Linked DNA regions of Rattus norvegicus. The protein of the gene in region 6 purifies or fractionates together with the protein of the main gene of each other region. This does not show direct contact. Links are inferred from orthologs where the notes say so. Each region holds a gene or a part of one and is shown on either strand. Other genes may lie near its edges. The genes, in order: Sp1, Cul2, Map3k8, Prmt5, Kpna3, Rela and Btrc.

Evidence for each region.
Region 1: the proteins of Rela (region 6) and Sp1 purify together in Homo sapiens (affinity purification with western blotting; 7 studies listed by BioGRID and IntAct, with this or other methods). This does not show direct contact. The link is inferred for Rattus norvegicus from reciprocal best matches to the Homo sapiens genes RELA and SP1.
Region 2: the proteins of Rela (region 6) and Cul2 purify together in Homo sapiens (affinity purification with western blotting; 3 studies listed by BioGRID and IntAct, with this or other methods). This does not show direct contact. The link is inferred for Rattus norvegicus from reciprocal best matches to the Homo sapiens genes RELA and CUL2.
Region 3: the proteins of Rela (region 6) and Map3k8 purify together in Homo sapiens (affinity purification with mass spectrometry; 5 studies listed by BioGRID and IntAct, with this or other methods). This does not show direct contact. The link is inferred for Rattus norvegicus from reciprocal best matches to the Homo sapiens genes RELA and MAP3K8.
Region 4: the proteins of Rela (region 6) and Prmt5 purify together in Homo sapiens (affinity purification with western blotting; 3 studies listed by BioGRID). This does not show direct contact. The link is inferred for Rattus norvegicus from reciprocal best matches to the Homo sapiens genes RELA and PRMT5.
Region 5: the proteins of Rela (region 6) and Kpna3 purify together in Homo sapiens (affinity purification with mass spectrometry; 4 studies listed by BioGRID and IntAct, with this or other methods). This does not show direct contact. The link is inferred for Rattus norvegicus from reciprocal best matches to the Homo sapiens genes RELA and KPNA3.
Region 7: the proteins of Rela (region 6) and Btrc purify together in Homo sapiens (affinity purification with mass spectrometry; 3 studies listed by BioGRID and IntAct, counting the BioPlex papers as one, with this or other methods). This does not show direct contact. The link is inferred for Rattus norvegicus from reciprocal best matches to the Homo sapiens genes RELA and BTRC.

Annotation. Positions count from the first base shown.
Region 1 is NC_086025.1:135,418,643-135,422,865, reverse strand, and holds the start of Sp1 (transcription factor Sp1), read right to left. Parts: upstream 2,817-4,223; 5' UTR 2,779-2,816; coding exon 2,772-2,778; intron 2,628-2,771; exon of another isoform or gene 1,771-2,627; intron 1,430-1,770; coding exon 1,272-1,429; intron 991-1,271; coding exon 1-990. UniProt on the Homo sapiens protein: Transcription factor that can activate or repress transcription in response to physiological and pathological stimuli.
Region 2 is NC_086035.1:58,870,522-58,874,167, reverse strand, and holds part of Cul2 (cullin-2), read left to right. Parts: intron 1-317; coding exon 318-377; intron 378-1,015; coding exon 1,016-1,231; intron 1,232-1,531; coding exon 1,532-1,684; intron 1,685-1,937; coding exon 1,938-2,015; intron 2,016-3,646.
Region 3 is NC_086035.1:58,088,035-58,091,680, forward strand, and holds part of Map3k8 (mitogen-activated protein kinase kinase kinase 8), read left to right. Parts: intron 1-87; coding exon 88-255; intron 256-274; exon of another isoform or gene 275-1,141; intron 1,142-1,387; coding exon 1,388-1,649; intron 1,650-2,518; coding exon 2,519-2,625; intron 2,626-3,646.
Region 4 is NC_086033.1:31,938,304-31,941,892, reverse strand, and holds the end of Prmt5 (protein arginine N-methyltransferase 5), read left to right. Parts: intron 1-186; coding exon 187-296; intron 297-528; coding exon 529-622; intron 623-769; coding exon 770-886; intron 887-1,148; coding exon 1,149-1,213; intron 1,214-2,205; coding exon 2,206-2,358; 3' UTR 2,359-2,966; downstream 2,967-3,589. UniProt on the Homo sapiens protein: Arginine methyltransferase that can both catalyze the formation of omega-N monomethylarginine (MMA) and symmetrical dimethylarginine (sDMA), with a preference for the formation of MMA.
Region 5 is NC_086033.1:39,783,259-39,787,537, reverse strand, and holds the start of Kpna3 (importin subunit alpha-4), read left to right. Parts: upstream 1-1,410; 5' UTR 1,411-1,417; coding exon 1,418-1,486; intron 1,487-1,493; exon of another isoform or gene 1,494-1,949; coding exon of another isoform or gene 1,950-2,072; intron 2,073-4,279. UniProt on the Homo sapiens protein: Functions in nuclear protein import as an adapter protein for nuclear receptor KPNB1. Binds specifically and directly to substrates containing either a simple or bipartite NLS motif.
Region 6 is NC_086019.1:212,353,090-212,357,181, forward strand, and holds the start of Rela (transcription factor p65), read left to right. Parts: upstream 1-1,246; 5' UTR 1,247-1,307; coding exon 1,308-1,314; intron 1,315-1,900; coding exon 1,901-1,927; intron 1,928-2,018; coding exon 2,019-2,170; intron 2,171-2,325; coding exon 2,326-2,474; intron 2,475-3,346; coding exon 3,347-3,438; intron 3,439-3,764; coding exon 3,765-3,896; intron 3,897-4,092. UniProt on the Homo sapiens protein: NF-kappa-B is a pleiotropic transcription factor present in almost all cell types and is the endpoint of a series of signal transduction events that are initiated by a vast array of stimuli related to many biological processes such as inflammation, immunity, differentiation, cell growth, tumorigenesis and apoptosis.
Region 7 is NC_086019.1:254,157,738-254,162,183, reverse strand, and holds the start of Btrc (F-box/WD repeat-containing protein 1A), read right to left. Parts: upstream 2,821-4,446; 5' UTR 2,728-2,820; coding exon 2,680-2,727; intron 2,646-2,679; exon of another isoform or gene 2,425-2,645; intron 2,372-2,424; exon of another isoform or gene 2,292-2,371; intron 682-2,291; exon of another isoform or gene 1-681. UniProt on the Homo sapiens protein: Substrate recognition component of a SCF (SKP1-CUL1-F-box protein) E3 ubiquitin-protein ligase complex which mediates the ubiquitination and subsequent proteasomal degradation of target proteins. Recognizes and binds to phosphorylated target proteins.

The DNA.
Region 1 (4,223 bases), on a different chromosome or scaffold from region 6:
CTGACTTCCTTGCAGTGATCCTCCTGATGTCTGGTTCTGCTGGATGTTTAGAGAATCAGACCCTTGCAGCCCACCAACTCTCTGGGATGTCTGGCCTTGAGAACTAGTCCCTGATGATCCGCTGCTGGTAAAGTTCATAATTCCCATGTTGCTGGTGGTGGTAGTTGTTGAATAGCTGTTGGCATTGGTGAAAAAGGAGCTGGAACTGGCTTGTGATGACACCAAGCTGGCAGAACTGATGGCAGTCCCTGAGGTGACAGGCTGTGAGCCACTCTCCTGGGATCCAGAGCTGCTGATCGTGCCTGCCTGAGAGCTGGGAGTCAGGGTAGCTGCAGAAACGCTGTTGACAGGTAGCAAGGTGATGTTCCCATTCAGGGCCACTGGTACATTGGTCACATACTGAGTCTGTCCTGAGAGCACATTATTAGCAAGGCCTTGGAGGGGGACAGCTTGCTGGAGTAGATTTGGCATAGCAGCAATAATGTTGCCCCCACTTCCTCTATTTGTGATGATCTGTTGATTTGCACCTGGTATGATCTGTATTTGACCAGAACCATCCTGCTGCACTTGGGCCCCAGTGGCAGCAAACTGCAGCTGTTGCCCATCAACAGTCTGGAACTGTGGGATTACTTGATACTGAATATTAGGCATTACTCCAGGTAGACCTGTCAGAACTTGCTGGTTCTGTAAGTTGGGGGTAGCAGCCACAACATACTGCCCACCAGAGACTGTGCGGTTCTTGGAAGACTCACTGCCATTGCTGCCATTGGTACTGTTGCCACTCTGTTCCTTTGAGGTAGGGGTAGCCCCAGAGGAGGAAGAGATGATCTGCCAGCCATTGGCACCCTGTGAAAGTTGTGTGGCTGTGAGGTCAAGTTCACCTGTGCCCCCTGACTGACTCGGACCCTGGGAGTTGTTGCTGTTCTCATTGGGTGACTCAATTCTGCTGCAGGTTGCTGCCAGCAGAGCCAAAGGAGATGGCTGGGATTCCTGGCCAGAAGAGAGGAAAGGAGTTAGTGGCACCCAATAGCTGGCCTAGGGGGCAGTATTCAACAGACAAACAGCAACAATGCAGGCATATAAAGAGCAAAAACCAGAAACAAAATGCTAACTTCTGTGTACTGTTCCAACTTTCCTATTTGGGGACCCTCTAGATCACCTATCTTTCTGTGTGTACTTCCCTACTGTACTTTCTCCCAGAGTTTTTGGTTAAGGAGGTTTCTAAGAATACTTATACCCTTTCAATACCTTCCCCATCTTTGATCACTCACCTGCCCTCCTCCGCCACCACTGCTGCTGCTACTGCCTGTGCTGCTGCTTCGAGTCTGAGAAAAGGCGGCACCACCACCGTTCCCGCTACCCCCGTTATTGCCACCAACACCTTTTTCAATCTTCACAGCTGTCACTTCATCCATTGAGTGATCTTGGTCTAAAAATAATTACAAAACAAATAAGTTGAGGGGGAAAAACATTAAGATTTAAAATTAACGTTTTGACCACCAGCAATGACTAATAAAATGTTTTTTTTTAAAGGTATTAGTCAGATACAGCTAGTTATGGTGGTAGGCCTAAAATCCCAGTATTTTGGAAGTGGAGACAAGAGTTCAAAGAAATTCTCAGTTACACATTAAACTGAGATGCCAAAGCCATAGGCATGCAGAGCAGGCACATGGCTTAATGGTGTCCAAGACAGGTCACTATTTTCCCAGGCATAAATTAACCCCAGAAATGACTCAAAAATTGCTTTGGAAGCCAGGCATGGTGACTCACACCTATAATCCCAAGACTTGGAAGGATGAGCCAGGTGGTTCTAGGTCTGCCAGACCTACAGAGTAAGAACTGATCTCAATGCAAACAGCACTTTTGAGGGAATTTGAGAGCAGTGTCTCAGAAATTAAAAAAAAAAAAAAAAAAAAAGTGGGGCCTAGTGATGGCACACTCTAATCCCAGCACTCAGGAGGAAGAGGCAGGCAACTAGGTAGCTAAAAGTTTGAGGTCTGCATAGTAACTTCGAGTTACTACGAGTACCACATAGACCCTATCTCAAAAAGAAAAACAAAAAAGCATCCTGGAAGGAAAAGGAGACCCAACACATAGGTGGATGGAAAGTGGGCTAAAATTAGGACTAAAAGAGATGGAGACAGATTAAGTGTAAACAAAAACAGGAAGGGGCCGAGAAAGGGTAAATTGTAAGTGGAGGTGAGGAAACATCTGAAGAGGGCAGGTAAGAGGCTAAAATGGTTTAGGGCTTAGAACCCAGGTTTGGGGCTGAGGGGCCGGGCCATAGAAGGAAGGGGCGGTTTCGGGGTTAGGGGCGTGGCAAGGGCGGGTCGGATGGGGGAAGGGAAATTTACGGGGGTGCGGGGGAGGGCCTGGAGCAGGCTGGGACCGGAGGGCGGACCGGGGAGGCGGTTGGCCCAGGCGGGGCCTGCACTGGTCGGGCCGCCCCCGCGGCGCCAGCCCCCGACAGGAGGAGCCTCAGGCGGCCGGCCGGGTAGTGGGGGGTAAGGCCCGTCCCCCGTGGCCGGGGCGGGCAGGGGGCGGGCGAGGCCAGGCTGCCCCCTCCCCCGGGGCGGGTAGCCCATCCCCCTCCTCCTCCGAGGCCCCGCCACTGCCCCTTCTCCCTCCCTTCCCTCCGCCCCGGGCGGGACCAAGGCCGCCGCCGCCGCCTCCCGCCCGCCCCCCCTCACAGCGGGGACCGCCCGGTCGGCCCTCGCGCGCGCCCCCTCACTCCCCTCCCACCCCTAGGCTTGGAGTGGACTCATCCTTACCGCTCATGGTGGCAGCTGAGGGGCGAGCTCAAGGGGGTCCTGTCCGGGGGGGTTGGGGGGGGCCGGGAAAAACGCGGACGCTGACGAGGCAAGCGAACCCGGACCGGACAGGGAGGGGGGGGTAAGGAGGAGGGAGCAGCGCGCCACAAGCCCGGCCTAGTCCCCGCCCCTTATCTGCTGCCCCTCCCAATGAAGGAGGGTGAAAGGAGGGACTTGCAGAGGAAAGGCGGGCAGTCTACCCAATGGCAAGACTCGCTCTCTCTCTGAGGCGTGTAAGACCAAGTTGCGTGCCTGGTTTCCGCCCAGAAAGGCCGCCCTCTCAGTTTTAACAACCAATTAGAGACTCGGGAAGTGGTGATGGGCGGGATGAGAAGATGGACTTGCAGAGAAACCAGTCAACCACCAGGCGGGCTCCGTGAGCGGTGGGGATAGGAGGAGATTAGGTAAGAAAGACAGGACAACGACCAACCAGAATCTTGGGCATGCCTGGGCAAAGTCCGTTTAGGAGAAGAGTAAGAAATAGGCCGGAATAGGACAGGATCAAGCTTTCTAAACCAATCAGAATTCAGGCGGGCAGTTAAGAAAGTTCTGATTGGACAACAACTGAAAAGAACCGGAACAGGGCTCATATTGACGTGAATGAACAGCCAATTAAACGCCGAGTAGAAGGTGAAGGCTGGAACTTGGAATGGGGAGAGGAGAACAGGCTTCCCCCTCAGATACTCAGGCCAATGAGGCAGCGAAAGCAGCCTGGCACCGCCTCTAGCTTTGGCCAATAGTCGTTAGAGGGCCGCCCCTCATGAGGAGGGAACCGGGCTGTGCCAAGTGGAGTTGGTCGCCATGTTGGCCCTCCTCAAGAGGCTTCTTTTCCTCGTTAGGTGGTACGCTTTAGCGGAGCCTTGCAGTTCCACAAGTGTCAGCGCTGAGACGCGCGAGGGCGAGGGTGTCGCGTCACCCGGGACCGTTCGAGTTTTCCCTTCACCGCTCCTACACAGCACCTCTCGAATGTCACCCCTGCCGGGATGGGCGGGCGGCTCCCCCTCGCCGTGGGTGGAAGCCCTGTGGCGGCGGGCGGGACGACAGCTTGGTGACGGCACACGAAAACCCAAGTCCACTGAGCTGAAGGCTTTTGGGAAGCTCTAGCAAACGCCATTTTCTTAAGCTGCCCCAGACACGCTAAACCACGGGCCAGGCAGGGTTCACTCCCATCACTCGGCTTTGAGAATGACGCACTCTGGAGAACTTCGTGAAGCCAAGCTCTCAAAATACTCAATTTACCCTCCTAGTAGAAAGCACGGTAACCTACTTTTGCAATCAAAAAGGTTAGAGAATTTGCCCTAGGCACCTCAATCTCTGGCCTCCATTTTGCCTCCTTTCTCCTTGTTTAATAGTTTGTCATTGACGGCTGTCACCACGTTTAACAATTGGAATTAATATAGTCACTGCATTATC
Region 2 (3,646 bases), on a different chromosome or scaffold from region 6:
AACCTGCAGCACCCGTGCACAAACGAAGGTGTGACATCCGTGCTGGAAAGGGACAGGGTCATGGGGCTGGCTGTCCAGCTAGCGTACACCCTAGGTCCCACAACAGACTCTGAAACCCTTGAACAGTAGCTAAGGTAGACCTGGCCTTCATTTGTACACGAGTGTGTATACTCCTTTATGTGGACACTTACACATTACATACTGGACAGAGGAAGAGAAATAGCTAAACTGTGGTGTTAGATCCGACGGCTGATCCTCAGCCACCTGTGTGCTTTGCCTGCTTCTGGTAACTAACCCTGGGCTCTTCTCTTGTTTAGGCCCTTACGTCTGTTGTAAATTACAGAGAACCCAAGTCTGTTTGCAAAGCACCTGAACTGGTAAGTGGAGTTGCTTAAAGGTAACTGACTTTCATGCGCATGCGAAGTCAGTAAAGGGAAGTTACTAGAATGCCAAATTAATTTGCTTTGTGTATTCTTTTCAGAATATGAAATTTGTCTGCACACACACACACACACACACACACACACACACACACACGCATGCACGCATGTGTGTATGTGTATATATATATATACATATATGTGTGTGTGTATATGTATGTATGTATCTCCAAATTTATGTTCAGAATTAGACCATGTGCCCTTTTTTAGCCAAAGGAGAAAATATTTCATAAAGATGATGATCTTGTTAAAAAGGCATGTGTACTGTTCATTATAGCCACTAACTGCTGATTAGGCTTTTTTTTTCTTAGAACTAAGAAAAAGTGTTTTGTGTTTTTAAAACTTAGCTGATCATGCATGTTTTATATTCATAGTTTTCGAGTGTAACCTTAGGGTGTGACAGCTTACAGCAACTGTCACACTTTTGCCGTGCTTTTGTCCTGTTGCTGATGACTTCCCCGGCTTGTTTTCATGTTTATGCCCTTACATCTGTTCTAAGTGACATACTTAGGGTGCTTTGTGTAAGGGTCTGTCCGAAGGGGCCTTTCTAATTTTATTACCACTCTCTCTTTGAGCTTGCTAAGTACTGTGACAACTTGCTAAAGAAGTCAGCAAAGGGGATGACGGAGAATGAAGTAGAGGACAAGCTTACCAGCTTCATCACAGTTTTCAAGTACATCGATGACAAGGACGTCTTTCAGAAGTTCTATGCAAGAATGCTAGCAAAACGTCTAATTCACGGGCTGTCTATGTCTATGGATTCTGAAGAAGCCATGATCAATAAATTAAAGGTAACATAAATCTTTAGTGTCATAGAAATCATTGTACCGACAGCCAAATACGCTCACTATATGGAATGGCTGCATACCTCACAGTAGTGCGGTCGCTGTATACATAGAGCGGGGCTGCATACGTCGTCAGACATGAGCGCATTTGTGCACTGTGTGCAGTGTTAGTATGAGACTTACAATGATTTAGGATGATCTCAAAGTTCTGTATTAATAATAATAATTAACAAAAAAACCCCAAACAGTTCACCCCTGGCTGACCGTTTTCAGTTTATGTTATACGCTCTGCATCTTGTTTTCCAGCAAGCCTGTGGGTATGAGTTTACCAGCAAGCTGCATCGGATGTACACAGACATGAGTGTCAGCGCCGACCTCAACAACAAGTTCAACAATTTCATCAGAAACCAAGACACTGTGATCGATTTGGGGATTAGTTTCCAAATATATGTCCTTCAGGTATGACAGGACTTTCTTTTTCGATTTATGAACCATTTTGATAATGTGATATAAAAGGTTAGCAACTGATGCTTGCTCATGTTTGGTTAGCTGTTGAATTGAGGACCACACCTACAGACTTGGAATAAAATGGGTCCTGCTAGTGAGAGCCATAGCACTGTAGAATTCCAAGGAAGAACGGGTGTCCCAGCAGCTGACGCAGCTTTTGAGGTAGACATCTGTTGACCATTTTTATCTCACTGTTTCTTTCTAGGCTGGTGCGTGGCCTCTCACCCAGGCTCCGTCGTCCACATTTGCGATCCCCCAAGAGTTAGAGAAAAGTGTACAGATGGTAAGTGTGCAGGGAAGAGGACGGTAAACAAAGGCCTGGCAGTGACTCCTTGTGTATGTCTGTGTGTGGGTGGTGTGTGTATGTCTGTGTGTGGTGGTGTGTGTATGTCTGTGTGTGGGTGGTGTGTGTATGTGTGTGGGTGGTGTGTATGTGTGTGGGTGGTGTGTGTATGTCTGTGTGTGTGGGTGGTGTGTGTATGTGTGTGGGTGGTGTGTGTATGTCTGTGTGTGTGGGTGGTGTGTGTATGTCCGTGTGTGGGTGGTGTGTGTATGTCCGTGTGTGGGTGGTGTGTGTATGTCCGTGTGTGGGTGGTGTGTGTATGTCCGTGTGTGGGTGGTGTGTGTATGTCCGTGTGTGGGTGGTGTGTGTATGTCCGTGTGTGGGTGGTGTGTGTATGTCCGTGTGTGGGTGGTGTGTGTATGTCTGTGTGTGTGGGTGGTGTGTGTATGTCTGTGTGTGTGGGTGGTGTGTGTATGTCTGTGTGTGTGGGTGGTGTGTGTATGTCTGTGTGTGGGTGGTGTGTGTATGTCTGTGTGTGGGAGGTGTGTGCATGTCTGTGTGCGTGTGGTGTGTGTATGTCTGTGTGTGGGAGGTGTGTATTTCAGCTTGGGGTCTATCTGTGATACATAGTAACCCTACAAGCTCTTACTAAGCACCTGTCCTGTATAAGGTCTGACATTTTAGGAGAGCTTGGGGATAACAAGGTGGATGGCTCAGTGGGTGACGGCACTTGCTTGGTGAAGCCTGACAGGCTGGAGTCACTCTTCACAGCCTACGTGGTTGATGGAGAAAACTAGCTCCCACGAGTTGTCCTCTCATACTCACATGTGGCCCTAGCATGAAGAACACACCACCATTCCAAATACATACCTACACAAGTAAATAAATAGAAGAAAGAGAAAGCTTCAAAATCATTTTCCTTTTCCAGTTGAACTTTGAGGCCATGTTTAGGCTTCATTTAGTCCTGGTAATATTTCAGTTTTCCTGTAATTGAGGTAAGTGTTCTGTATAAGCTGAGACACCAAAACATAATATGGAAGCTGCATGTGGGACAGAAATCCTAGAAGACTGACCTGCTAACAGGTTGCCTGTGGGTCCACATAGGCCCATAAATGAATAAATACATAAGTATGTTTTTAAATTAAAAATAAAATGAAATAGTAAAGTGTGAGCTGGGGCTGTAGCTCATGGGGCTTTGGGCTCCACGCCAGCACAAATGTGTCTTAGGACTGTTGTCTTTTATATATTCAGTCCAGGCAAAGAACTTTTTAAATTCCTAAGTTTTGATAAAATATTTTTGATATTTAAAATATTTTGATAAAAGGTTTTTTTTTTCAAGATTTATCATGTATACAGCAGTCTCCCTACATGTATGCCTGCAGACCAGAAGAGGGCACCAGATCTCATTATATATGGTTATGAGCCACCATATGGTTGCTGGGGACTGAATCTCAGAAGTCAGATGAGATTGTGGGATCCCCCGGATCTGGGGTTGTGAGCAATTTCCTGTGGGTTCTGGGAGCCGGAAAGTCATTTGCTGCTGGAGTGCGCTTCGTTAGCCACTGACTCTTCAGACTTAAACGTCAGCAAAAGGCAGTAGACAGAGACAGCTTGAACAGCTTCGTTCCTAT
Region 3 (3,646 bases), on a different chromosome or scaffold from region 6:
TGTAATGTCAGAATTACACACGGAACCACTGCACGAAGGGCTGTGTGTAAGCATGTTTCTAACCTCAGCACCTATATTTCCTGACAGGTAATCAGTCCCCAGAATGGTCGCTACCAAATCGACTCGGATGTTCTCCTTGTCCCGTGGAAGCTGACGTACAGGAGCATTGGTTCTGGTTTCGTTCCTCGGGGGGCCTTTGGAAAAGTGTACTTAGCACAAGACATGAAGACAAAGAAAAGAATGGCATGTAAACTGGTGCGTGCAGCCACACCGTGTCCCTGACTTCCTGGCTTAGGGTTATTTACCCTTACACTAGGTCTTACCTACGGTTCCTACCCCAAAGTGTCTGTCACTTCTGGAGTGGCTTGTGGCCCGGGACCATTCAGCTCCTACATCTCTACTTAGGTGTCTTGTAGCTTGCAATCTAATTAAAAGAACATTTTGGTGTGTATGGCAATGGCTTAGATAACACCATCTCCCTTAAGTGGGAGTAGCGGGAGCTTGCCCGAGATGGAAGATATTGGCTGCTGTCCTGTGGGGAGGGGTACATGGCAGGCAACAGAGACTAGGAAGACAGGGTGTTCCTCGGGACTACAGAGTTATAGGGCTGAATTCAATTGTACCAATTGCCAATATGACCCCATCTCTTGTTAAGCAATGACTGTTTAAAATTAATGCTTCAATACTTCAGCGCACTCCTGGGCAGGCTGACAGCTAAGAATGTACACATCTGGAGAGGCCCAGTAACTCACTGCCTAATGACAGCCAGCAGAGGTGTGTCCACTTGTGGGACTATTCTGGGCTGTTCGTTTGAGCACTGTTTGCCACGGTAGCATTCTGAGAGCTATGCAGGTGCTGACAAGTGAATGTTTATGGTCTGGAACACTTGATCACAAAGAGAATCTTCCTGATGGAGGCCTGAACTTTTGTGGGATATAGAGATGGGTGAGCGCTTATCTTCTAGGCTTGAGTCTGAATTGATCAAGGGACCAGTGACTTCTTCATATTATCACACAGTGAGGGGGAAGATTGGGAAACAGATTGTTCTAGGAACCATGGAAGTGAAGGGTGTCCATCATAGGAAATTCTTACCTCAGTCACCATTCTGGAACCTTGTTTGGATTCCTAAACTCTAAATAAAGTGAGTTTTTCCCTACTTTGTTTTTTAATGTTTGAAAAAGTTCATATCTAAGGATGACACGATATATGTAGAAGTGGGTCTGTGGTAAACATTTCTTGACACCACAGTGCCCTGTCGTACACATCAAAGTGTCCTTGTGTTATTTTGGCTTCTGGTTTTTGGCTTGAACTATATTGTCTGATATTCGTTGGTTTGTTTTATTGTCCTGAAGTTGTTTAGACCCTTGCCCCTGTTTTGTGTTGCTAGATCCCTGTAGATCAGTTTAAGCCATCAGATGTGGAAATCCAGGCCTGCTTCCGGCACGAGAACATTGCTGAGTTATACGGTGCGGTCCTATGGGGCGACACTGTCCATCTCTTCATGGAAGCTGGCGAGGGAGGGTCTGTCCTGGAGAAGCTGGAGAGCTGTGGGCCCATGAGAGAATTTGAAATTATCTGGGTGACAAAGCACGTTCTCAAGGGACTTGATTTTCTGCACTCCAAGAAAGTCATCCACCACGATATCAAACGTGAGTAGTGGTGTCTGCCTTGTTGCTGTTTCATGGGGCAAGTGAGATGCTTTGACCCGAACACACTCAGCAGCAGACACAGATTCCTTTTCTGTGCTCCTGAAGAGGCTCACAGAAGGAAGGCCGATTGCTAAGAACATTAGCAGTCAGAAGGGAGGCTGAGGACCAGAAACCGATACAGGGATTATGACCACGTGTCTCTTGGGTGCGTGCTGCCTCTGTCCTTGTATTGTGATTTAAAAACAGTGCAGAACTGAGGGTGCACCTTAGTGGTAGATCTCCTGCTTCCCCCATAGGAGGCCCTGGGTTTGATTCCCCCCCCACACAGAGAGAGAGAGAGAGAGAGAGAGAGAGAGAGAGAGAGAGAGAGAGAGATTATATAATGCAAGCACGTAGGCATATATTTTTGAGTTAATTTTCTCTTAATTTTGAGCCATAATTTGGCAATAATTCATTAAACATTCTCTTTAAAAAAAACCAAATTGTTAGAACTCGGATATAGTATAAAATAAAACAGAGAGACCCACTATAAATCTTTAATACTTAATGCTGAATTGGACATACACAGCTTTGGTCAGAAAAACATATTTATTTTTCTAACAACAGTAGCTTGTGTATGTCTTAGATTTCGAAGCCGAAGCCTTGAGCTTTCCTGATGGTTGTAGCTCCTATCCACCCACACTAGGTGGGTTCCTGGCAGGCCTCGGGTGGTTTCCGCTGACCTCCACCCTACTCGTCTCTTCTGGGTTGAAGGCAAATATCATTATCAGAAGCATTTCTTTCTGTTTTGACTGAACTTGCTTTTCTAGATGAGGTTTTCCTGTTGGGTTAGTTGCATTAACTCACATTAAAAACCCCTCTCATTGCAGCTAGCAACATTGTATTCATGTCTACGAAAGCTGTGTTGGTAGATTTTGGCCTGAGTGTTCAAATGACAGAAGATGTCTATCTCCCCAAGGACCTCCGGGGAACAGAGGTAACTAATTGTATTGGTGTGAAAATTGTTACTGTCTTGTTAAGAATAAAAGTGATGGTCTGGAAATTCTGTGGCAAACAGCAAGGAAGGGGAAAAAATGACAACATTGAATGATCTTTGTCACCAGAACAAACTCATTTTACTTTTTACCTTTTTCTATTTATATGACTTTAAATATGCATGGTTATATTTATAGACATTATTTATTACTATGTTTATTTATACAACACAAAGCACTTGCAGCCAATCCAGTGCCAAAATGGAGAACTAGTTGAGCGTTCCTAATCCAAAAGTCTAGAAAGCTAGGCAAGAGAGAGGTTGCTGAGTAAAGGCAACGCAAGCCTGAGGACCTGAGTTCAAATCCTGAGAACCCACACAAAGCCAAGTGTGATTGTCCCAGTGTGACTGTGGGTAGATCCAAGTAGACAGAAGTCTCCCCCAAGGCTCACAGGAGAGTAGCCTGGAATAGAGGGCTATGAAGAAGAGATCCTGGCTCAAGATAGAAAGTATCACATGTGCAGTGTTGTATATATTACATACACAGACAGACATGGTGAAAATGAAGCCCACAAATATACCGAATATTCCAAATATGAACTTCCAAATCTGAGATGTTTTGGTTCTAAGCTTCTCAGGTAAGGGGTACTCAGAATTTAAAACTATAAAATTGTTAGAGAACAATAGTGAACTTATAGTTTGCTTAGTACTTTAAATGAATCATTTCTTCCTTAGAATTATTCTGTATAAATACTGTTGCTAGAGCATTTAGGTGACTGCTGTTGTTCTATTTTATAAAAAGACAATGGAGAGATTGTGGCATGGTGCCTGATGTGACCCAAGTTACCAGCAGAGCCTAAAGCTTGAATTCTTGGAGAAGAAGGATTTAGTTTCTTATTTTCTAAGGATTCGGGCTCTAAATTATGGGTAACTTTTTAAACGGAACTACCACATTATTACATATCAAATTATGATAACTACTGCAACCCAGTATGTCTTCCCTGCCCTGGCTGTTAGCATTTAC
Region 4 (3,589 bases), on a different chromosome or scaffold from region 6:
GGGGTGTTTTTTTACCTTTACTTACGGCTCTAACATCCTAAGAGTAGAATTCCGATGATCCAACATCCTGTCCTCCAGCCGTGTTCCTAGCAGCCTTGGCTTGTTCTGTTGTTTGAGCCTTCAGCTGGTGCAAAAAATGCCCTCTCCCCTCCCTTTGGGAACTGATTTGACCCTGTTGTCCTGCAGATGATGGTGTAAGCATCCCCGGAGAATACACCTCCTTCCTGGCTCCCATTTCTTCCTCGAAGTTGTACAACGAGGTCCGCGCCTGTCGGGAGAAGGACCGTGACCCTGAGGTAAAGAGCTGCTTTTCTAGGAGGAGGGACTATCCTTCAGTCTGCTCTCCTGTCTTCCTCTGAAGCCAGTGAAGAGGTGAGAGGAGCTGGGATTGAAGAACGAGGGTGAAGTAAAACGATGTTTTCGTTCTTTGATGCTGGAACTCCAGCTTTCTCTGGGAAGTGGTGCCTCCTGTCTGTCTGTCTGTCTGTCTTCTGTCTCCTGAAGTTGTTGCTTTCTCACCCTGGCCAGGCACAGTTTGAGATGCCTTATGTGGTTCGGCTGCACAACTTCCACCAGCTTTCTGCTCCTCAGCCCTGTTTTACCTTCAGCCATCCCAACCGAGGTAGGTTCATGCATGGCTGTTCTGACTGAGGGGGTGCGAGCTTCCCAAGTCTAGGTCTCAGGTCCTGCAGTCCTAGAGCCTATTCAGGTTTGCCAAGTCATTGAGGGGTTTTGGCCCCTTGTCATCCATCCATGTCCTTCCTGACAGATCCTATGATTGACAACAACCGCTACTGTACCTTGGAGTTTCCTGTGGAGGTGAACACGGTGCTTCATGGCTTTGCAGGCTACTTTGAAACTGTGCTTTACCGGGACATCACTCTGAGTGAGTGTCTGGGAGCTCATTAGAGCACTGGTGATTTCAGTTCTTGGGGGCTGCTTCACAGTGTTCTCTCCTCCATGGAGATTGCTAGCTGAACACTAGCTGAGGTTACTGTCAGCCCGGCACAGTAATTTCATGGGGAGTCCAGAGTCCAGGAATAGAGGTCTCTGATTCTTAGGATTTTTTATGACCACAGAAGAGACTTCTCAAGGTAAGGAAGAGGGACAGTGGTGACCTCAAGTCTTTCATTACTTTGTCTCCACAGGTATCCGCCCAGAGACCCACTCTCCTGGCATGTTCTCATGGTTCCCCATCTTCTTCCCCATCAAGGTAGGAGTCCCCTCTAAGATGGTTGGTTGAGGGATAACAGTGGTGTTCTGCTCCTGTCCCTCAGCTAGTTGGCTGTGACCCACATTCTGTTCTGTCACTTGCTCTGTGGTCTTGGTTGGGGTTACCCAAGTAAGCTCCCTGGACTCCCCACATCTCCAACCACTCTTGTCCAGTCTTTACCTGGAAGAGGGTTGACTTTTTACCACTTAATTTGAATTGGCCTTTCTGTCTAAGCCCCTCAGTGCCTTCCCACTGCCCTCAGGTGAGACCCTGGAACCATGTTGTAAGAGTTGGCTTGGTGGCTTTTTCTGCCTCCCAGGAGATGTCTCTAGCTTTTAGTCCCCTCTGTTTTGCCTGTGAGGTTCTTTGCTCATGCCTTCACCCTGCCAACTGACCAGGTTTCCTGGGATATCTGCAATCAGGCCATTTTCCTGACCTCCTAGAATAGGCTGTCTTCCTCCTAAGTGCTTTCGCGGCTCCCTGTACATGCTCATAGCACTCACTGTGTCCTTGCTCACTGTCCATATTTTGACAGAGTAGGGACGTCTTTTTTTTTTTTTTTAAAGATTTTATTTATTTCATGTATGTGAGCACACTGTAGCTGTCTTCAGACACACCAGAAGAGGGCATCAGATCCCACTGGATCCCAGATGGTTGTAAGCCACCATGTGGTTGCTGGGAATTGAACTCAGGACCTCTGGAAGAGCAGTCAGTGCTCTTAACCGCTGAGCCATCTCTCCAGCCCCGAGTAGGGACGTCTTATGAGGGTCAGAATATTTTACTATATTTGTCTTTGGTTTTGAGAAAGGGTTTGGGATTATATTCAAGCTGGCTTTGAATTCCTGACCCTCCTGCCTAGCCTCCTGAGTTTGAGGGTTATAGGTTTGTACCCCACACTTGGCTGTTGATTATCTAATCCCCGTCTATCCTCCCAACATTGTCAAGTATAGTTCCTCAGCTCAACCCCAGCCTCTGTGTCTTTCCTATTACAGCAGCCCATCACGGTGCATGAAGGCCAGAACATCTGTGTGCGTTTCTGGCGATGCAGCAATTCTAAGAAGGTGTGGTACGAGTGGGCGGTGACAGCGCCAGTCTGTTCTTCTATTCACAACCCTACTGGTCGCTCCTATACCATTGGCCTCTAGCCCTGCACACAGCGTCAGAGCCTTGGAAGCAGCTCTGAGTTCTCTTCCTGTAGCACAGAAGGTGCAGAACATCTACTGGTTCAGTTCATCTGTGAGACCCTCACCTGCCAGCGAGGAACGATTCAGTCTGCTTTTCTACCTATGTCATGGTGGCCAGGGGGTAGGCATTCCAGGACTGCCAAGCATGGTGGTGCATACTTTTTATCCCAGCACTCCAGAGGCAGAGGCAGGTGAATTTCTTTAAGTTCAAGGCTAGCCTGGTCTACCCAGCAAGTTTCAGGCCACCTAGGGGCTACATAGTGAGATCCTGTCTCCAAAAAAGAAAAAAAAAAAAAAAGAATTGCAGGACACAAGCCAGCAGCAGTTTTCAGAAGCCTCTGTCGAGGGCACGAGGACTCAGTAGCACTGGAGGAAGTGGCATCGGCGGGCGCTCACCCTCCAGAGCTTCCCAGGGGTCAGGAGAAAAGGCAGAGGCTTGTGGGAGAGCCCCAGGAGTGTGCATGAACACTTGCGGCCTTCCCCTGGCCTTACTCTGTTGTTGTTTGGATGCTTTGTGTCAGAAGGAAACACAAATAAAGAGAAGTTACGGCCTCTGCTGCTCTCCCCTGCTGCCGCCTGCCTGTTTCCTACACTTCACTTCAATCCCAGCACACCGAGGTCTGTGCTCTTGCCTTGCCTAAGACCCAAGGAGGTCAGAAGCTGGGGATGTTCAGTAGTAGAGCACGAAGTACTCAGTGGTGACCTGTGAGGTTCCCACTTGTGCTCATGTTGTGTTCCGTCCCCGTGTGTCAAGCCCTCCAGCCTCACCCGCCCCCGCCCCGGGACCTCTGGGCGTATGCTTTTCTCATGTGGTCCATTAGGTTCATTTGTCTATTTCTCTAGGAAAGAGACACCTTGGAGATATGAGAAGAGCTTCTAGCTTCTCCCTTCCTTAGATGGATTGCCAGTAAAATCACAGAGTAATTGTCCATTTTGCAGAAGAAAATTTGAAGTTGGTACAGTGAAATGTTGCACCTATCCTAACATCTCTGACAGCAGCAACTTTTTGGGGTAGTGCAGGGATTGGGCAGCTCAAGGGTCCAGGAGCTTTGGGAAACCTAAGGAAGTGAGGGTTGGCACCATCAGTTCTTTTTAGAACAGAATACCCAAGTACCCATGTCAGCTGAGAAGTTATCTCGGTTTACGTTTGCAATAGGGGACCATGTGGGGTCTGATGTGAACAGCAGTGTTG
Region 5 (4,279 bases), on a different chromosome or scaffold from region 6:
CATGTGTTTGATTGCTTGGCCCATAGGGAGTGGCACTATTAGGAGGTATAGCTTTGTTGGAGGAAATATGAGGTGGACATTGGGTCTCCTATGCTCAAGTTAGGTCCCTTGTGGACACAGTCACCTTCTGCTGCCTGCAAATTGAGATGTGGAACTCTCAGCTCCTTCTCCAGCACCATGTCTGCGGGCATACCACCATACTTCCTGCCATGATGACAATGGACTCAACCTCTGAACTGTAAGCCAGCCCCAATGAAATATTTTCCTTTATAAGAGTTGCCATGATTATGGTGTCCCTTTACAGCAACAGAAACCCTAATTAAGACAATTCTGAAATGTAATACTCATATATAATCTAATAAGGTTATCTTGCTGTAAAAACAAAAACAAAACCAACCAACTAACCAACCAAAACCAACAAAAAAACTGTTATTGTTCCAACAGGAAGCTAAAGGGAGTTGACAATCTGGAGTCTGCAGACTTAGGTCCTGAAGGCTACATTGTGTTAGGTAGACTAAAGCATCAGGTCATAGAAAGGTAGGGCTGCCAAAGTGAAGGTTGCACAAGGATGCTTGGAGAAATCAGGGGATGCTAGAACACTTTTTTTTTAAAATCAGAATTTACTAGGTACTGTTTTGATCTGACAGATTTTTGAGACCAACAGTGTCTCTTTTCTCATTGAGTTTAATAGCGGGTGCAGGAAGCAATCATAAACACACACATCACACTCACATGTATTTGTGGAGTGGAAACAAGCGTGCTATTTATAAAACCGAAGCAAAGCAGAGAACAGGGTTTGAGGGTGGCTGCTATTTGAGGAGACCCTAAAGAAGCCAAAAGCGCAAAGCACGCGTGGCCGTTCTTTTTCTAATTTTCGAAGCTGTAGAAAGCAAGGTGCGCCCCCGGAGCTCCGCCTCTCTCTCCGGATAGGCTGCAAGGTGCCATCTCCAGAGTTGCCCCGCCCACCAGCCCGCCCAGAGGTGGGGCTTCGAGCCCGCGCTCAGAGAGCGCCTAGCCGAAAGCGCGCGCACAGCCCTCCCGGCATGCTTCTCGTCCTCTCACACCGTGGCTCAGACCCGCGCCTGGCAATCTGGGAATTGTAGTTTGCGCCCTCCGCCCCGCTTCAGGGGTGGCGGTAAAAGCTGCTAGGTCGGGCTCCATTTCTAGCACATGACTAGCTGCTGTGGGGAGGCCCGGCGAAGGGGTGAGGGTAGGGTCAACGCGACAGCCGGCAGGCCAGCGCCCCGGCCTTCTCCGGCGCGCGCCTTTCCTCAGCGCCGCCCCCGCGCCGCGGCCACCTCGCGCTCCAAGCGTCACGGAGCGCGCGCTCCTCCCCCTCCGTCCCCTCCCGCTCGACTCGCCGCCGCCGCCGCCGCCGCCGCCGCAGGAGCAGCCGCCTCCGGAGCCGCGCGCAGCCATGGCCGAGAACCCCGGCTTGGAGAACCACCGCATTAAGAGCTTCAAGAACAAGGGCCGCGATGTGGAGGCGAGTGTGCTCCGCGGCTGGCTGGGTAGGGCGGGGAGGGGCGGGGGCCCGCGGCCGCTGGCTCTCGCCGGCTGGCGGTCAGTCGGAGTTGGCCGCCGCCTCGGGGCGCCGCGGCCCGGGCAGCAGCCGCCCTCTGAGCGGCTAGCGCGGCACCTGGGACCGCTGAGCGCTCGGCCCCGCTGCGCGGGCGCGGCCTGGCGTCGGAGGGGAAGGGATGTGGAGCCGAGGCGGGGTCCGCGGGCCGCGCGGGAGGACGGACCGGGATGCTGCCGCCCCGCGTGCCGACCGCACCGCCGGGGCCGGGCCGCCGCTCGTGTCCGCAGCCGGTGCAGCCTCCCGCGCTGCCGCACATGGAGCCTGGGTCCCCGCGCTTACCTTGTGCGAGCCGGGCCCAGGCGGGCGGTGGCAGCCCTCAGAGGGGGGTGGGGACCAGCCGGGTAACTGACTTGTTTGAGGGTGGTGGATGGGGGAGGGTAGGATGCGCCAAGACCATTTTCTTATATTCCAGTGCTGTCCTTTGGACCAGTCTTCCCGAGCTGTTGCAGCTCATACCCCTGTGACTGCTGGCATTTGGAGCGAGCTAAAGGTGGACAATAGTTTACCGTCTATTGTGTTGAAGCTTTGGGAAGGAGGTTGTGCAGACCTCTGATCTTGGGATTTTTTTTTTTTCTAAAGCACGTTTTGGAGTGGAAGTGTGAATAATAGGAAAATAATTTCTTTGACCTGTTTTGCAGAAATAAATTGGATACATAGATTCCTACGTCCTTGTGTATACCACATGCCACCAAGCTAGTAGATTTTCCAAGTGGTTGCAAAACTGTAAACATTCATTGTGGTCACTCAGTTTGCTGCTACTCAGCATGTTGCCATTGTCTCATTAAGGTGACATTAGCAGCTACTATTTGCAAACTCTGCTTATTGAGGTAGCGCTAGAGGTCTCTCTGCTCCTACTAAAACCAATGAAGTGTAATAGCACAAACTTCACTGGGACCCAACCTCTGGATTTGATGGGGGAAATAGTTTTGAGCCCATATCCTCTTCTCTATTCTAATAGTAGGTAATATGATTTGTATAGTCTAGTAGTCTTTGGTAAGAGGCTAGTTAGTAAATACAGGGTTTGGTTTGGTTGAGAAGCAGACGAACCTGGACCATTTTTCAGAGCTACAAAATTAATTATGAACTGGAAAGAACCTGGGGGAATATCTGTGGAATTCCCATTTGAGTGAGACTATAGGTTTTCTATCTCTGCCCTGATCACATTTAAGTTTCTTTATGAGAATTCCAAACAAAAGTGAAACCTAGCAAATGGAACATCCATCAGTCTGTTTTTTTGGTAAGAGTGTGTGTGTGTGTGTGTGTGTGTGTGTGTGTGTGTGTGTATGTATGTGTATGTGTATGTGTATGTGTATGTGGCGTGTGTGTGGTCTCTCTTGCTTTTCATTTGTTTTGTTTTTGAGACAAGGCTTTAACTACAGGGCAGGCTGGTTAAGCAGAGAGAATAATCCTGCCTCAGTCTCCCACGTGCTGGGATTACAGGTGTGGGCCACCACACTTTGTCCCACCAGTAATTGTTCTTGAGGTTGTCTCTTATTACTGTAAGCAAAACCTGAATAGTTTACGTGGATACTCTATTGCTTGTACATTCTTTCCTTTTCTGGATGTTGGTGTAAGTTTTTGTCATGATTCGTTTGAGTTCTGTGTCCTGTTTGTTAAATGATAACTAGTGAGGACTTCTGCATGTAATAGATCCACAGCAACTACTTGCTGCTTACTAGAAGGTGACAAGTGGCTTGTGGATACATGAAAAGGACAGTTGCCATTTTGTCGGGTTTTGTTTACAACATTTCATGTCCAAGCCTATGTCAGTATAACTAGGACATGAAATAGGCATTCAAATGGTAGTTCTTTGTGGCAGACACAAAGAACTATACATTGGTGTGCTATACCAAGAACATTTAATCCTCACCACTTAGAAGTGGTGCATTCCTTTACTAGAGAAGAAGAATTCTTTTTTTTTTTTTTTTTTTTTTTTTTGGTTCTTTTTTTCCGGAGCTGGGGACCGAACCGAGGGCCTTGCGCTTCCTAGGCAAGCGCTCTACCACTGAGCTAAATCCCCAACCCCAAGAAGAATTCTTCGATATAGAATTGCACGTTTCTGTAGCGTGCTGGTAACATCTGAGAGCATTCATTTGCTAAGTGACTATTGGGTGACTAGTGCAAACAAAGATGGCGTCCGAGTGATCTCTGACAGATAAATGGGAATGAGCTGATCCTGAAGAGTCAAAGAAAAGCTTGGTGCGCCCTCAGTAATCTCAGCACTTGTTGGGATAGCGGCAAGTTAGGAGTTCAAGGTCATCCTGAACCGGCGGGCACCCTACCTCAAAAAATAAGCAAATGAATGAAATGAAAAGGTGATAACTGGGGAAGGGGAAGGGCAGGGTCGAAGAAGGGGATAGGCTTTTGTGATTTGAAGATTACTAATTTCCGAAGTTCCTAGAACTGCAATGGGACTGCTTTGCTAAGGGGTTCTGGGGAGTGGGTGGATGCTAGAAATGTAGTGGAAGGGTAATCTAGGGTCTGGTCTAATTTAGGGTCTTTATTGTGGTTTTAAACAGAACTAAGAGGAGATGCCAGCCATATTAAATTTATTTTTCCCATTAAAAGCTGTGCTGCATTTGAGTCATACTATGAGTTAGCACTATAATTAAGTAGTTGCGATTATTAGGGTGTTTGCTATTGTTTCTTTACAAATAGTGTAGACAGAAGATAAAACATTTTTAAATTATGCAGTCA
Region 6 (4,092 bases):
TGTCAGTTTTTAAAAGTGGTTCGTGCGAGGATCAATGATGGCTGTGTGCCATTAATCGGAGACCATAATTCATTCTGTCACCTTGATGTCCGCCCCCGCAAAACATTAAACTGCTTTTTCTAATCTGCGCCAAGTGAGAAACTGAAATGAGTGGGAGGGGCGGTAACTATTTTCACTTTTGTCTTCCTGTTTTTTTCAGAGCCTGGGAAAGAAGTCAGAATTTCCAATCTTTTCCAATTCCCACATGATTTCCTAATTTAGAGAAAATAAGTCTTTCTCCATGTGCTAAAGCCTCCTCTGCCCCCCACCCCGCCTCCTCCTTCTGGCATTGTGGAGGGAGCCTGATGTGTTGATTCCTCCAGCCAGTGTCCCCAGACTCAATCTGCACACCCGCCCTTGGCTTAGATGGCAATTTTCTCTCCCTACAAAAGCTTTCATCACTGGAGCTCAGGCTCCTGGGAGGCCTTCAAGGAGATGCTCAAGTGGTGTGACCCTGGCTAGCTCCGGAGATCCCTAGGGATCTGAACCTTAGCAGACAGGACCTATCTGTGGAGGCGAAGCCCTGGAGCTCTTCCAGCATTCATTGCTCTCAGGGACTCTTAGAGGTACAGGTGTCTACCTCGGTCCCCTCTACACCAAGGCCTCAGTCAAGCCTTGATGAAGCATGCTTTGGGAAGCACTCCTGCGCGCAGCCGGATCTAGGTTGGGAGCATATGGCCTGTAACGCGCGGCGGTCCCCAGAAGGCCCTGCACGAGTAGGAAAACGTGTGGAATTCAGTCACTGTGCTCCGCGGAAGCAGCAGGCCTGAGCCTCTCCTTGTGCAGGGCGAATGGCCGCAGCCTGCCAGCAGCCCGGGCTCTGCTCCAGACCAGGCCAGGGTGACATCACCAAACTCTTGAGATCAGAGCGGGGCGGGGAACGGGACCCGAAATCCCCTAAAAACAGAGTGAGTAATCGCGGGCCCGCCCTCCAGGCGGGGCCCGGACACGGAGCGAACCGCGCTGCGTAGTCCGGGAGCGGCTTGCAGTCGGGCGGGCCTCAGGACGAATAGCCTCGGCGTCCTACCGCCGCGCTCCGGTGTCCCCGCCCGCGCGCCGCACACCTTCCGCGCCCAGCGTGAGTTGCGCACCTGCTCTCGGCCCCCACGCGCGTCGGTGGCGGCGGCGCAGCGCGCAGGCGCGGCCGGATTCCGGGCAGTGACGCGACGACGGGCGCGCGCCGCGCATTTCCGCCTCTGGCGAATGGCTTCGCTTTAGCGCGCCGTGGGCTCAGCTGCGACCCCGGCCCCGCCCCCGGGACCCTGGCCATGGACGGTGAGGCTGCCCTCTGGCCCGCGGGACGGCTGCCCTAGAGTTCCGGGACCTGCGGCGGGATCCCCCTCGCGCCGTCTTCCGCCCCTTTCTGCGCCGCGGGTTGCTGCGCAGGGAGCGGCAGGCCGGATGGTGGCACGGGGCGGGGCGGGCTGCGAGGGGTCTGACTCAGTTGCCCCTCTCAGTGGAGGGCGCCTTGACTCAATGTCCCTCCTGGGTGGGAGTACGGGTGAATCTTGACTCAGTTTCCTCCGGCTTCCCCCCCCCACCCACTGTGTCGATGCGATTAGTTCTGGCTTCCTTTCCGTGTAAGGGAGAAAGTATCTGACTCAGTATCCCCCGAAAAGGAGAGGGGGTAGAACCCTTCCTCAGTGTCACTTATGAACGTAAAACAGGCTCTGACTCAGTTTCCCCGGGCAAAGGAATACCTCTGTGCCCCTTTTCTCTAGTAGAGAGATGCTTTTGCCTTCTTTACCTGGCCTCTTTCAGGGCAGGTCTTAGGATCTTGGCTCAGTTTCCTTTGGAGGCATTCCCTGGTGAGGGTGGGTACTGGAGTTTATTGACAGTGTGCCTTGTCTTTCCCTTTCAGATCTGTTTCCCCTCATCTTTCCCTCAGGTAAGTGGACCATCCTTCCTCAGTAGGTAGGGGCTGTCCTGGAGTAGGGGCCATGGGGGCAGCACCTAATGGCTGACCGTATCACCCACAGAGCCAGCCCAGGCTTCTGGGCCATATGTGGAGATCATTGAGCAGCCCAAGCAGCGGGGCATGCGTTTCCGTTACAAGTGCGAGGGCCGCTCTGCAGGCAGTATTCCTGGGGAGAGAAGCACAGATACCACTAAGACGCACCCCACCATCAAGGTAAGCAAGAGCCCCCAGGGGTGTCGGGGTGGGGACACAGATGTGGTGGAAGGCACTGTGGAGCCCCAGCAGACTTGCCTCCTTGCCACCGCGCCCCGTGTCTAGGAGCCAGATTTGGGATTGCTGGCCTCTAAAGTACTCTGTACTTTGGACAGATCAATGGCTACACGGGACCAGGAACAGTTCGAATCTCCCTGGTCACCAAAGACCCACCTCACCGGCCTCATCCACATGAACTTGTGGGGAAGGACTGCCGGGATGGCTTCTATGAGGCTGAACTCTGCCCAGACCGATGCATCCACAGGTGAGTCTGAATAGATAGGCTGGGGGTAGTGTGAGGTCAGGGTAGGTAGGGGGCAGGGTAAGAGCAGGCTGGGCCAGGCAGCTGTTACAAAGTTACACTTTTCTAAACACTGGCAGAATCCAGAGTCCTTGCTCTGTCCCCAGGTCTGCAAACAGACCCCCTTTGTCTTAAATTCGCTAACAGATGGGAACTCTTTATCTTGGAGCGACAGATCCTTTATGACTGGATAGCCCAGTCCCTTAGGCTCTTGTATCAGAAAGTCCGTAATGGACTCTCCTAGAGCTTAAATACCAGTTGGTAAAACCAGGGGACAGTTGTACAAACAGATAGAAAAGATACTAGTGGAGAATTATAATTTCCATGATGAAAAGAAAACACAGTAATAAATTAGAAGGAGGAGGAGGCTGGTCTCGTGGCATAGGGACAGAGTCTCATATAGCTGAAGCTGGCCTTGCACTCATGAGGGTTCACCTACCTCCTCTTCTCAACTCCAAGGGTAATAGGCGCGTAGCACCATGTCCTGTTACGTAGGTCTCATGACTTTGGGTTGGAAGATTGCAGAAGGCCTCTGTGCTAACACTCAAATGGTGAGAAAAAGCAGACAAGCCCAAAAGAACATTGCATGCACAAGAAAGAAGTATGGTGACCTGGAAAAGGGACTAAGTTTAGTGTGCTCAGGGACGGGACAGGAAGGCCCTGTGGCTGAGGCTAGGACACTGACTTGGGGGCTGGTGTGGGCCAGGTCCCTCAGAGACTCGCCAGTGGGTAAGGAGTGGGTTCATTGTAGCACAGTGGGAAGCCTTGAGCTGTGAGCTGAGGAGTGGGAAGAGGGTGTTCTTTTGGAGACACAGAACTAATGCCTGAGGCCTCAGCTTCCAGAACCTGGGGATCCAGTGTGTGAAGAAGCGAGACCTGGAGCAAGCCATTAGCCAGCGCATCCAGACCAACAATAACCCCTTTCAAGGTAGGAGCAAGGGGCAGGACATAGCCTGCCTGTGGTGCACATTCTGCCACCTTCCCTGGGCCTCTGGCGCTCCTCACCCTCCATGACCAACCCAACAGTACAAGTGGAACCTCGCTGCCAGCATGGTACACACTCACATGCTACCGTTGAGAGTCAGGCCTAGAAAGGGGTGGTGTATTCAGGTCCCAGTAGAGCCGTGATGGGTCTAGGATTTTGTCTTCCTCCCCTTAGACTTCTGTTTTATATATCCTCAAATCACCTTCCTCTTCCCTCAGAGCTCCCTGCCCTCCCCATGCCTTCCACCACTTTTTTTTTTTTTTTGACAGTTCCCATAGAGGAGCAGCGCGGGGACTATGACTTGAATGCGGTCCGCCTCTGCTTCCAGGTGACAGTGCGGGACCCATCAGGCAGGCCCCTCCGCCTGACCCCTGTCCTCTCGCATCCGATTTTTGATAACCGTAAGTGGCCAGCTGCAGTAAGGGGAGAGGGTGGGCTTGGGAAGAGAATGGGGCTGGGGTGGGTGTGGCCTTGCTGCAGGGGGCAGGGCAGAGAAGACCCAGAGCTGCCTCTGTGGGAAGCTTGCAGGATGCCCTGGAGTTGGATGGGAAGTGACTGTTTTCCATATCTTGTGTTGAGATGCTGGTGTGCCAAGAA
Region 7 (4,446 bases), about 42 Mb from region 6:
GATTTCCATCCCCTCCCCCAGGATTTCAAGGTCTCTGCTGATTTGCCTGTTTGTAAACAGACTGAACTCCGGATCCTTCTGCCTCTCTCCCAAGTGCTAGGATTACAAACATTCGCCACCACACGTAGCTTGTTTGTTTTGTTTTGTCTGTTTATGGTCTTTTGAAGCAGGATCTAATTCCATGAGTAGCCCAAGCTGGCTTTCACACTGGCAATACTCCTGCCTCCTCCTTGTCGTCCCCATTCTTGTCATCTTCCTCTTCCTCCTCTTCTTCTTCTTTTTTCTATTTTTGAGAGAGGTTCTTTATATGTGCCTCCAGCTGTCCTAGAACTCACTATGTAGACCAGGCTGGCCTCAAACTGAGATCTGCCTACCTGCCCAGGTGTAGGCCACCTTGCCCAGCCTGCCTCAGTCTCAAGTACTGGATAATAAGTATAATCCCAAACCTGGGGTCTGTTAATATTTTAGAAGGGCAACGCAGGACAGAAATTCAAGAAATGTCTTTAGGCTCAGTAGAATTTTGTGAATGACAAACTTGTGTTTCTGAAGGTACTAATACAAAGTAATTTTTTGTTGTTTGTTTTTTAGAGACAGGGGTTCTCTATGTAGCTCTGCTGTCCTGGACTCATACTGTAGACCAGGCTGGCCTTGAACTCAGAAATCAGCCTTGCCTCTGCTTCCCAAATTCTGGGATTAAAGATGTGCGCCATCACAGCCCGATTAAAATTTTACCTTTTTAATATATTTTTTATTTTATTTTTTAAGATTTATTTATTTATTGTATCTATGTGAGTACACTGTTGCTGTCTTCAGTCACACCAGAAGAGGGCATCGGATGCCATTACGGATGGTTGTGAGCCACCATGTGGTTGCTGGGAACTGAACTCAGGACTTCTGGAAGAGCAGCCAGCGTTCCTAACCAATTAGCCATCTCTCCGGCCACTATTTATTTATTTTATGGGTATGGATGTTTTGTCTGCATCTATATCTGTGCACTACTTGTGCGCCTGGTGCCCTGGGGGTCCAGAATAGGGTAGAGGATCCCTTGAGACTGGAGTTACAGACCTCTGTGAGTAGCCATGTGGATGTTGAGAATCAAACCTTCATCCTCTAGGAGAGCAATGGTCTTAACTGCTGAGTAATCTCTCCAGTCCCCAAAATAAAAAGTTAGATTTGACCGGCTTCTATAAATATGAATGGGGCAATTTAAAACCTAATTTTAACTAAGTTAGTATCTGTTTGTTATGGCGTCAAATTTGTTATGGCATTTTAGGCAAAGACACACACACAAAAGAACCTATTCAACAAAGGAATGCTATTTGAAATGATGGGTTACAATTACTTCTGAAAAAAAAAAAACAAGACTTGATTGAAAATAATACAATATTCCTAAGATCATCCGTTCAGTTAAAAAAATAAATTAATAAATCTATGCATCCCAACATTCTTTAGATGTAACTAGAGACTGGTTTACACCTAGGATATACAAGGAAGCATCAGATTAAAAGCATCAAATATCAGACTAGTCAAGGCTGCCAAACACAAGCACAGCAAAGGACAACCACCATACAAAGTTAAAGAAATAGGGCCTAAGGGGTTTACACACACCCTAAAAACGCAAGGCTCACTCTGTACTTCAACCTAAAACTCACGGGCAACACCAATCCTCACTTACCTCACCTTCTCTACTCCCTACATCCGTCCTCTAGAATTTCTTCACATCTCTTTAACATTTCTCCAAGGCCTTTCCTCTCACAGAAAGTGATACAGCACCTGGCTTCCTCCACATTTTACTACCTCACCACTGAAGGCCCAAGTCTTGTTTTGCCTTCTCTTATTGGCTATGAATCTTGTCCCCGTTCACCTGTAACTACATTTCTTTCATCGCTTTGCCCTTATCACAAATAATTCTGCCCCTCTTCTTCAAAACAGAGCACATACCTCCTTCCTGATATGGGTGATTCTAGCTGGTAATCAACACTGTCTCTCCCAGGAACTGTCACCATAGCTCTAGGTCTGAGTCCTTATCTTCTTAAATGAGGCCTCTTCTAGAGTTTGCCAACATTAGTTTGGTCAACTGGGATTCCACCCTTAGCCCTTAGGCAAAGGCTATCTTCCCAGCTCATTCTACAAAACTACTTGCCTCCCCAGCCTGGGCTTTCCCTCCTTCGCCGTTAAACCCATCAGTTTACAGTCCTGCCCAGTTTCCCCCTTCCCCCAGTGCTTGCCCTGCCATTATCCTATCTCTACTATTCCCTACTCCTGAATGCACCTCCTTTCCCAGGCCTTACCCGTTACCCTGATACCGGGAAGGGCCCTGCTAGCGTCTACAGGCGTTTCTCCACCCGGGTTCCTCCGCTCTTCAGTAACTGTCCCCACGCCCCTTTCCCTCTGGGGGCCCCGCGCGCCGCCAGGAGCCCCCACCTCGAATGAGCTCCCGCTGTCACTTGGCTTGTCTTCCACAAGATGGCGGAGCTGCTGCCCCCACCTCAGGGTCCCCTCTGCACCCTCCTGCCCCCTCCCCCAAGCTCCGGTCCAGTCCCTCCCTCCGCCTCGCCACCGGCCTTGGCCCCAAGTCCCACTGCCCCCTCCTGCGGTGAGCGGGTGACCCAGGCCTAAGCTCAGCGACGCGCCAACGCTGCCGCCTCCACTAGTCCCCTGCCCACACCATCTCCTCACCATAAACTTGAGCGCTTTCTCCTGCAGCACCGCCTCTGCCGGGTCCATAATCGCCCGGGCTACTGGGTCTGCTCTCCGCCGGGGCCGCCCCTTTCGTGCCAGGCCGCAGCCAACGCAGCGCCCGGATCCCGCCTCCTCTTCCTTCCCCCGCCCTCTCTTTACCTCCTGGCACTGGCAGGGTACCCCTCCGAGGAGGACCGAGGCTCTGCGCGTGCGCACTCCGCTGCCTCACGGGACGTGTAGTTCTGGAGGCTCGAGCGGCAAAAGGCGAGGCCACGCGGCGAACCCCAACTCCCACGGGTCACTGCGTAGAGTCGCGGCTGTGTGCAAGCCAAATGTAGCGCACTCGAGAGCCCGGAGGGGAAGTCGGCTGACGGGAATCGTAGTTTCCAGCCTTTAAGAAGGCAAAGCCGGAATGTCACCGTGGTTACCAAACGACGCCAGTGGTTGCTTGCCTGGCATTTGATAGCAAGATGGCGACTAGTGCTTCCTCTATATTCCAAATACTGGGAAAACAGAGAACCCAGGGTCCTTGGGCCTCCCTAATTGTGATTTTAGAGAACGAGTTCATACATAGGGCATCTGCGGAAAGATTGAGACCTAGAGACTCTGAGCCTAGTGTGCATGTAACAGCAGCCTCAACAGCAATGCAAGATTACGAAGTCATCCTAAACTATTATTACCTCTCGTTTCTGAAGAGCCTTTTCTCTCCCAGAGCTAGCCAGGGACAGATAGAACTCGCTCCAGGAAACCTTGAGTTTAGTGCTCAGAATGTATGACTAACTTTGCTAACCCTGAGATCTAAGTCCTGTGTTACATCAAGCCTAAAAGTAGTGTCTATGACCATAAAAGCCCAAAATGGGCCGGGTGTGATATCACATGCCTTTAGTTCCAACACTTGGGAGGCAAAGGAAGAGGCAAGTAATCTAGTGAGTTTGTGGCTAGCCTGGTCTACAGAGCAAGTTCCAGGGCAGCAAGAACTACACTAAGAAACCCTGTCTTGAAAAAAAAAATTAAAGAAAAGAGAGAGAAGATGGGGCTGCAGAGACGGCTCAGTAGATAAGAGTGCTTCCCGTGAAAAGACAACGACCTGAGTTCAAGTCTCTAGCACCCATATAAAAAGATGGGTGTATGGGCTCAGTGGTTAAGAGCACTTGCTACTCTTGCAGTGAACCTGGGTTCAGTTTCCAGCACCCACATGATAACCCACAGCTACTACTGTGCCTCACCCGGAGTAGATTTTTAATTATGGACACCATGTTCTATAAACATCATAGGCAGGAACAGAGGTTGGTTGGTTGGTTGGTTGGTTCTAGGTTGGTTGTTTTGTTTTTGTTTTTGACTTTTTTATTTATTTTGTGTATGTGTAGGTGCACATGGCTTGCGTAGATCAGGGGGAAGCTGCTGAGTTCGAGGTCTACAAGGTCTACATTGGAAGTTCCAGGACATCCAGAGCTACATAGTGAAACTGGGTCTCAAACAAAAAAGTTATTACCCTTCTTCCACAGTGTAAGCCCCAGAGATCAAACTTAAGTAATTAGGTTTGGTGGCAAATGCCTTTACCCACTAAACCATCTCACTAGACCAACTCTGACAGAAGGCAAATACACTTACTCTACAGGTTACAGGGAGACCAATTAGCCCACAGTGGTGCTGCAGAATTCAATGCCGACCTGATCTGCATAGCCAAGTTCCAGACTGGCCCAGGCTATGAATGGGAGCCTGTCTTTTAAGAAGTAGTAACATCAGTCGCAGCTGCTGCCACTG